2 linked regions of the Sus scrofa genome follow. The protein of the gene in region 1 interacts with the protein of each later gene in a biochemical or structural test. Links are inferred from orthologs where the notes say so. Each region holds a gene or a part of one and is shown in the gene's direction. Other genes may lie near its edges.

Region 1 (4,237 bases):
TGGCCAGAAAATGGGCAGGCAGAAACCTGGGATGTCCACAACCTCAGGACGTTGCAGAGCCTGAGATGCAGGCTGTCTTGGGAGACAAAGCCTCAGTGGGACCGAATGCAGAGTATGTAAACCTGGTACCTCCCTTTACCTATTCCCCACCCACCCAATAATTCCTGCCATATACATGGGGATACATCTTGGGAAACTTCTCTGGAAGAATCATAATTAATTCTAATTACTATTTATCAGCAAGCTGCCACTGACCAACACTATGACATTGGTGTCACTGGCAGAGAACAAGGGACAGAGAATACTTGGAACTCTGGACAAAGTGTGTGTGGCCCATCCTATAGGGGAGGCCCCTCCAGGTCCCCTGGTGTGCAGGGCAAGCCCCTGTATTGATGAGAGCCACTGAAGCTACTGCTCTGCCCATGGCTCTTCCTCAGGCTCCTTTGCTCATTCCCAGAGATGACATTTTTTTTTTCTCCAGATTTACCTGCCTGTCCTCAGCTGGGGCCAGCCCAGGGCCAGGTGACAGGCAGGCGGGGGAGGGAATCAGCTCTGCCCAGCCTCAAGTGTTGGTGCAGCTGCTGGCTGCCCGGGTCACCTGCCAGCAAGGCCATCACAGGCCACGGGGGCCATGCCCACCCTCGTGGGGAGCTGTCACCTGCGGACCTGCAAGGCTAAAGACCAGGTCCGAGCGCGCGCACATACACACCTCTCCGACCCAGAGCTGTGTGGGTGTCTGGGCCAGAGTGCTGTCAGGTCAGCCAGGCGGGGTCGGAAGGTGGAGGGAAGCCCAGACCCCCCCACCCCCCGGCTAGCTGGAGTCAAAGGTCAGCCTGATATGGACACAGCTGGGGTCAAGTTTTTATCTGGGGTTTGGCCAGAACAGGTCCCGAGACTGTGGGGCAGAGCACACCCTAAGTGGGAAGACGGCCGGAAGTGGAGGGACCCTCTTGGCTGGCCCGAGGCAGCCTGGGCCCGGGTCATGAGTATGGAAACTGAGGCTCGAGCCGGCCCCGCCCCGGCCCCGCCCCGCGCCGGGACGTCACAAAAAGGCCCAAAAGGGCCGCGAGCCGGGCGGGGCAGCGCAGCGCAGCCCTGCCCGCGGCCCCGCGCACAGGCATCAGGGGAGCTCGTAGAGCCGGGGCGGCGGAGGCCTCCCAGGGCCTCGGAAGCGCCAAGGCGCCTGCGCGCGCGGCCCCCGGCTCCCGGCGGCGCGCTCGGCGGCCGGGGGAGGGATCGCTTCCCATCGTGCCCCGCGGGCGGGCGCGCAGGCGCGGTCGGGGCAGGCTGCGCGCAGGCGCGGGCGGCGGCGGGGGCGGGGCGCGGCGGCCGAGGCGAGGGCCGGGCGGCGGCGCAGAGCGAGTGGAGCCCCCGGGTGCCCCGGGCGGCGGCGGCGGCGGCGGCGGCGGCGGCGCAGAGGAGGAAGGCGGCCCCGGCCCCGGCCCGTCCCGCGGTCCCGCGGCCCCGCGGCCCCGCGCGCCCCCTGCCCCGGCCCCGGACCCGGGCCCGTCCGCCGCCGCCATGGCCCGGCCGCTGGTGCCCAGCTCGCAGAAGGCGCTGCTGCTGGAGCTCAAGGGGCTGCAGGAGGAGCCGGTGGAGGGCTTCCGGGTGACCCTGGTGGACGAGGGCGATCTGTACAACTGGGAGGTGGCCATCTTCGGGCCCCCCAACACCTACTACGAGGGCGGCTACTTCAAGGTGAGCAGCGAAGAGGGGGGCGGGCGAGCGACCCTGCTCCGGGTCCTCGGGGCCCCTCCTCCACCTCTGCTCCCTGCCCGCTCCCCTCGCGGGGCCCCCTCCCTCTGCTCCACTGCCTGGCCGCCTCCGGAGAGTTCGGGGCTCTCAGTCACCCCTTCTTCCCCGTCTGGCCTCAGGAGTCCCCGAGAAGCGCCCATCCCCTCTAAGCCCGCTTCAGGCCCCCGAGAGGAAACCTAGGACCCTCCGTGTTTCTCTGGGTGCAGGGTTCTTGCTTCCCCCAGCCCTTAGTGTTCCCCGCCTCCCGGCCCTGCTCGCTGCTCAGAGGAGACAAAAAAGCCTCCCCACAACCAGCCAATACTGTTGCGGGGAGCGCCGGCTTAGGAAGGGAGGGAGTGGGGGAGGGAGGCCCGCTGGCCTGGGGACTGGCTCGGCCTCCTGCTCGGGTTCCAACAGAGGCCAGGATGGGGCCTTGGCAGCAGGGACCTGCTTGGAAAGCGTCCACCCTTGCCGATAGCAGCCGGCCAGGCCCTCTTGACTTCATCCTGAGCTTTATGTAACCTGCTCTCTCTGACGGTCACTCCCACCCTCCTCCCTGTCCCTGGAAACCACGGAGCAGAACCCACCCCAGGTTCCACCTCAGAAGGTTGGGGTCCTGGCCTTTTTCAGGTTCCAATGAGTCGTTGGCTTCTTGGGCCCGAATCTCAAGCTCTCGTGGTTTCTGGGCCCTCGGTGGTGGCCCGAATCTCAAGCTCTCGTGGTTTCTGGGCCCTCGGTGGTGGCTTAAATCCAAGCAGTTCTCTCTTGTTGTCAGAGCTGGGAGGCAAGTGTTTTCCTGGGGACTTGTGTGTCATGGACTCCAGCCAAAACCTGGGGAGGATCTGAGTCTAGCCGTGGTCTTGAGGGACCCCTCCCAGATCAAAAGGACTTTGCTCCTTGAGCCAGAGGGACAAGGCAGGGGGTCTCCTTGGGTGAGAGATGGGGCCTGAACCATCAGCTGGGAACGAACACACACACACACACCCTGCCAAGAGCCCTGCAGGCCTGGCTGGGAGGCCTGGGTTGGGGGGTGGGGAGGCTGATGCCGCCTGGACAGATTCTGTGTTTGCACTTTTGGCTAGTTCAGCAACCTCAACAGAACAGCCTGAGCTACTGGCATTGCTGAGGTGGGATGGGGGGATGAGTGTGGACAGCTCTGGGCTGAGTTCTATGGTTGGAATCCATCTTCCCCATGCAGGGCACGGATTTAGGGTTGCTCACTAAGTGATCTAACCAGCCTCCCTCCCTGGTCTCTTTTGTGTGCTTCTGGGTACAACTGGCTGTGAGGATAAGGGCCGGTGCTCAGAGCTGGGAGAGCAGAGTCCTACTCTTCAGCCAGGCCAGGACTCTGGAAGGAAAGGAAAGGATGGGGAGGGGGGAATAGGGGGGTGGTTCTGGCTATTACTCTCTGTTTACAGGGGATTGTGGGTAGGGCCTTCTAGGCTGGCTTTGGGGGGAATAATCCTGTTTTTCTGAAGAAGGAAGGACTGGGTTCAGGGTGCTGCACATTTCTCATCTGCCTGCTATAGCATCTGTCCTCAGGCCAGCTTGGGACCCACGGTGGTCTCTGATCCTCGTGTCCCAAAAGATGCAGAAATAGCAGGGGCTGGAAGTGCCAGGGGGTCCACCATCGCTTCCCAGCCTCCTCCTCTGAGTTTTCCAGGCCTCACCCACTTCCCCATATGAGCCAGAGGGTCCTGGGCAGCAGGTGATGAAGGCATGCCCTGGAAACCCAAGTTTGGGAGCCCCTCCAGAGTTCTGTGCCCTCAGGCAAAGTGCTCTCCTTTTCTGAGCTGCAGTTTGCACAGCAATAAAGGCACCCTGGGACTTGGTGGGTGCTAGGTGCTTAGTCAGGGGAGGCCTGTCACCCTGCCTTGCTAAGGAAGCTTCAGTTGGTCTTGGGCTGTCACTTAGAAACCCAGCACTGGGCTTCGGAGACCCCAGGGCAGAGTCTGAGGCTTGAGTTCCAGGCTGGCAGAGGGACTTCCCTTGTGTCTCCAGCATAGGAGAGCAGTTCTCCACAGATGGGTTGAAGGACCTACAGCAGTGTATCCAGTGTGGCCCCTAGTATGCTGCCTGGCCTCTGAGAGCCTGAAGCACCACCAGATCCTGGGACTAGGGCTTAAATAGGCTGAAGCCAAGGCACAGCTTTCACCCATAGGGCCCTCCCCCATCTGCCCCGTGACCTTCCTGTCCGCCTTCCTGACCCCCCCGCCAGGACCGACACCTTTGGGTAGAGAGCCTCTCCGCCCAGCGCTGACTCATGTCCGCCCACGGCGGGCGCCTGCCCAGGGAGGTGTGGGGATGACTGCCCGGTGAACACGCGGCTATTTTAATCCCCCCACAAGCTGGAAGCTGAGGCCCAGGCCCCTGCTGGCATGTGCCCGCCCCTCCCCCAGGCCCACAGGACTGGAGCTACTCCCTGGCAGTGCCCATGCCCCCCAGCAGCAGGCAGGGACCGGGGACAGCTCTGGTGACCCCAAAAAAGCCCCAGGTTTGTGTG
Region 2 (4,114 bases), on another chromosome or scaffold:
ACAGTTATAGTACAGTTTGCACAGTGGATTTCGCCCGGTCATCATACTCGGAATATGGCACGCTCTCTAACCATCTCCAAACTCTTCTCCGCGGAGGTAGGCAAAAGCAGCCTGCTTTTCAGAGATTAGGCAATCAGCAGCAGCCGGTCGAGAGAGAGCAACCGATAGGCTTTGTTAGTGGCCCCTAGCGTATACGGATACAGTCATGCTAGTGTTGTAAGACTGCTCAAGGCTGCAAAGGGATGCTCAGCTTTGCCACTGCGGACAGGAACACAGCGGTCTCCTGATCCCCTAAAATTCAACCACCACCTTTGACTCAAACTGCGCCTTCACTTACAAAATGCTCTCACTCATGTTCCTCTGGTTTGACCCTGACGGCGGCAAGATGTGAAATAATCCTTCGTTGCCATAGTGCCTATTTTACAGATCAGGAAAGGATCTTGTCCACAGACCCAATCCTAAGGGCTGCCCTCTCCCGGATGGAGGAAGCAGCTCCCGGCGGAGGGGTAGACACAGGCAGGTGTGACGCCCGCGGCCGCAACCTCTCACCTGGCGGGCGGGGCGGGCCACTGCCTCCACTCAGCGGCCAGGAACGTAGGCCCCGCGGCGGCGGCCTCTCGGGGTCTCGTGGGTCCCTCTCTCGCCGCCTGCACTTGGCCCCAGATCCCAAAATGTCTCAGGCTCTCCCCCCTCAGGCTCACCGTCCGATCTCGCCGGACAGATTCCAGAAGGACCTGGAAACCCCCTGTCCGCCACAGCCGTCTGGGGTCTGGAACCCACGCTCTTTGGCGACGGCGGTGGCTGTCACCAGAAGGCCTAGGGGTTCCCGGGAAAAGAAAACCTGTCGCCCGTCAAGCTGCTGCCATAGCCCGGTCGGCTGGAGCACCGCCCACTTCCGCCTCCCCGCCTACCCTGTGGGCCGTCCAGTGCCGCAACCGCGGGGGGTTGTGGGTATATGGAAGGCGGGGAAAGCTGCGAGGAAAGGAAGTAGTGGCGAGGCAGCCGGATTGCCAGGCAGGGAGAAAACTACAATTCCCAGAAGGCAGCGGGGCCGCAGACGGTAGCGGGGAGGAGAGCGGGCAGAAGTTTTCTGCGCGCGCGGTGGGGATGGAACGTTGATAGAGTTCGCGGGTCTCACTGCTGGGGGCTGGAGCCACACGCAGTGCGCCGCCGCGCGCCAAAGCGGGAATCCGGGAGGCGGGCACCTCTGCAATTAATGCACGCGTTTAAAACTCCCGAACCTGCGGACGCCATGCACAGGTAAACCGTTTGCAGAAAGGGGCAGACCGTGAGTGGACCATCTTAATTCTTTTAGGCCGCGAGTTTTGCTACTTCCTAATATTGTTTGTAATGCTGCAATGTGAATGGTTGCTTAACCTCCTCTTTGGGAAAACGTGGATGGGTGGATGCTTTAGTGCTGTGATCAGCGTGCGATATTATTTGGCTTCCCTTATTGGGCTTTTCTGCTCCTGTTTTCAATCACTGTATAATTGCCCTCTTCTTATCTGTTCCATCCACTTTGAGACATTCTTGAGGCCTTCTGCATGATCGTAAATCAAAAAGCCTTTTCGATTTGTTCGGTGTGTTTGGTTCTTTTTTCTTTCATTCTTGGGAACTCGCCGCCGGCACTTAAAATGCAAGTTCAGTTAGCTGCTGTGAGCGTTTTCGGTAATGCATAAGTTGCAGCTTCCTTTAGGCCTGTTTGGAATTATTCACGGGTGTGTTTTTTAAAGGAACGGGGGCTATTGTGCTTATCTGCAGGAAGCACCTCCAGGAGATTCCCGACCAGAGTAGCAACGTTACCACCAGCTTCACGTGGGGATGGGATTCTAGCAAGACTTCTGAACTGCTTTCAGGCATGGGGGTCTCTGCCTTGGAGAAGGAGGAGGTGGACAGTGAGAACATCCCCCAGGAACTGCTTTCAAACCTGGGCCACCCGCAGAGCCCTCCGCGAAAACGGCTGAAGAGCAAAGGGAATGAAAAGGACTTTGTGATCGTCCGCAGACCTAAGCTAAATCGAGAGAACTTTCCAGGTAAGGTATGAGGGTCAAACTATCGGTGCAGTAAGTGGTAGCTTGAAATATTTTGTTGGTAAACCTTTGTTTAAGGATCATTAGGATGGAGCGCTTTTAAAATTGCCTAATTTTGAAGTTATTTTCCAAAGAGATGAGAAAATTCGTTGCTTTAGAAGTTAACAGAAATGTTGGTAGCTGTATATCTTAAGATGCACAATAGACTTTGAATCCAGGAGAATCCGTTCCTGCCTTTCTCTTTAGGAAGGACTCTGCCTGGTCTAAGGCCAGCTTAGTGCCACTGACAAATGAGAACAAAGAAATGATCCTTTAGGATTCTTTTTGTTTATATTCTGCTGCTCTGGTTGAGGTTTTTGCCAAAATCAACTTTACTTATTTGTCAAGGGATTGCTAAAGTGAATGTTGAACTAGGTGGAAGAAGAGACTTCTCTTCCCGGGTCCATCCCCAAGTGGGCTTATTCTGGTATGCTCTGTCTCCATGACTGCCCGTGTTATCTGTTCAATTGCCCAGCCCCCAAACCTGAAAATCAGTCAGATTCCCACCAACCCCAACATCCATCCAATCATTACATCTTTCCCTTTTGTGTCCTGAATATTTCTCAAGCTGTCAACATCTGAATATTGGAATGGACTCATAATTCCAGCCTTATCCTCCCCAGATCCATCCCCCAGAGCCAGAGTGGACTGACTGAAATGTAAAACGCACCACGTCATTCCCCTCTAATAGCTCTCTGTTACCAGGCTTCTCAGGCAGATGAGTAAGTGCCTCCCAGAGTGGATCCAGAACTCCAGGAGTATGCAAAGCCATAGGGTAAACAGTGCACTGACCTGGGGTTATCAGTTTTTCTTGCTGGTAAACCATGTAAACCATTAATTCAGCAAATATTTGCTGAGCACATTTTATATGCTAGTCATTGTTCTAGGTACTGGGGATATAGCATTGAGCAAAACAAAAACATTTCCACCCTCGTGGAGTTTCTGCTTCGGAGAGAGGATGCAGGAAACATAAATCTGGTGTATGGTATACTAGAATACGTGCTATGGATAAAAGCAAAAATGGAACAAGCCAAAAGGGATTGGAGGTCCTTGGGTGGGAAGCTGGTTTGCAATTTTAAGCAGGGCGTTAAGGGAAAACTTCACTTGGACAGCAAGCTTTAAGCAGAAGCATAAAGGAGACGAAGGAATGTGCCATGCACATACCTTGGGGAAGAGAACCCCAAGCAGAGGGAACAGCTAGTGGAAAGACCCTGGGGCATAGGAATGTCATGTTTTTTCAAGGAACTACGTGGAAGCCATATTCCAAGAGTGGATTAGCAAAGGAGAAGGTAGTGGGAGATGGGCTAGAGGTGCTGTTGAGCGGAGTTGTGACGTGACCTTTTAAAAGGACACACTGATGTGTTGAGATGAAACTGTAGGGTGTTGCAAATAAAAACTCAGAGCCTTGTTGAGAGGTGTGGGAGTGATGATAGGCAGTGGTCAGCTTCTGAATAGATTCGAACATGTGAGTGGACAGAGTTAGGAGGCTTTGAAAGTGTCTGTAGAAGAGGTGATCTTGTTCTAAGCTGAAACTGGAGGTGATAGAAGAAGAGACAGATACAAGAAATAAAGATGAAGACTTGCAGAGTGAGGGTAAATAAGTATATACCTAAATTCCCCATCTGGCTTTCTTTGAGGAAAGGTTGACTGGTTGCTTGCTTGCTTACTTTAAAAAAATAATATATATATATATATAGTTTTTTTAAATTTTTTATTATTACTTAATGAATTTTATTACATTTATAGGTGTACAACAGTCATCACAACCAAATTTTACAGCATTTCCATCCCAAACTTTTTTTTTTTTTTTTTTTTTTTTTGCTTTTAACTCTTTCTTTAGGAAAGAGAACCTTCAGGTTACCGTCTGGGGATCTCTATTAGGTGTTGGATTCATTAGAAAGGCAGTAAAGGATTGTGGTGGAGTCAGACAAATCTGGCTTTGCATCCTCATTCTGCTGTTTACCAAGCCTGGGAAGTTATTTGAGCTCTCAGTGCCTTAATTTCTCTGTGAAATGGAAGAATAACCCGGTTCGTGGGTTCCCGAG

The links. The genes of interacting proteins can lie anywhere in the genome.
Region 2: the proteins of CDC34 (region 1) and SKP2 form a complex in vitro, tested with the Homo sapiens proteins (3 studies listed by BioGRID, with this or other methods). The link is inferred for Sus scrofa from reciprocal best matches to the Homo sapiens genes CDC34 and SKP2.

Annotation. Positions count from the first base shown.
Region 1 is NC_010444.4:77,765,471-77,769,707, reverse strand, and holds the start of CDC34 (ubiquitin-conjugating enzyme E2 R1), read left to right. Parts: upstream 1-1,375; 5' UTR 1,376-1,521; coding exon 1,522-1,698; intron 1,699-4,237. UniProt on the Homo sapiens protein: E2 ubiquitin-conjugating enzyme that accepts ubiquitin from an E1 ubiquitin-activating protein, and catalyzes its covalent attachment to other proteins by an E3 ubiquitin-protein ligase complex. In vitro catalyzes 'Lys-48'-linked polyubiquitination.
Region 2 is NC_010458.4:21,462,026-21,466,139, forward strand, and holds the start of SKP2 (S-phase kinase-associated protein 2), read left to right. Parts: upstream 1-1,244; 5' UTR 1,245-1,252; coding exon 1,253-1,260; intron 1,261-1,761; coding exon 1,762-2,033; intron 2,034-4,114. UniProt on the Homo sapiens protein: Substrate recognition component of a SCF (SKP1-CUL1-F-box protein) E3 ubiquitin-protein ligase complex which mediates the ubiquitination and subsequent proteasomal degradation of target proteins involved in cell cycle progression, signal transduction and transcription.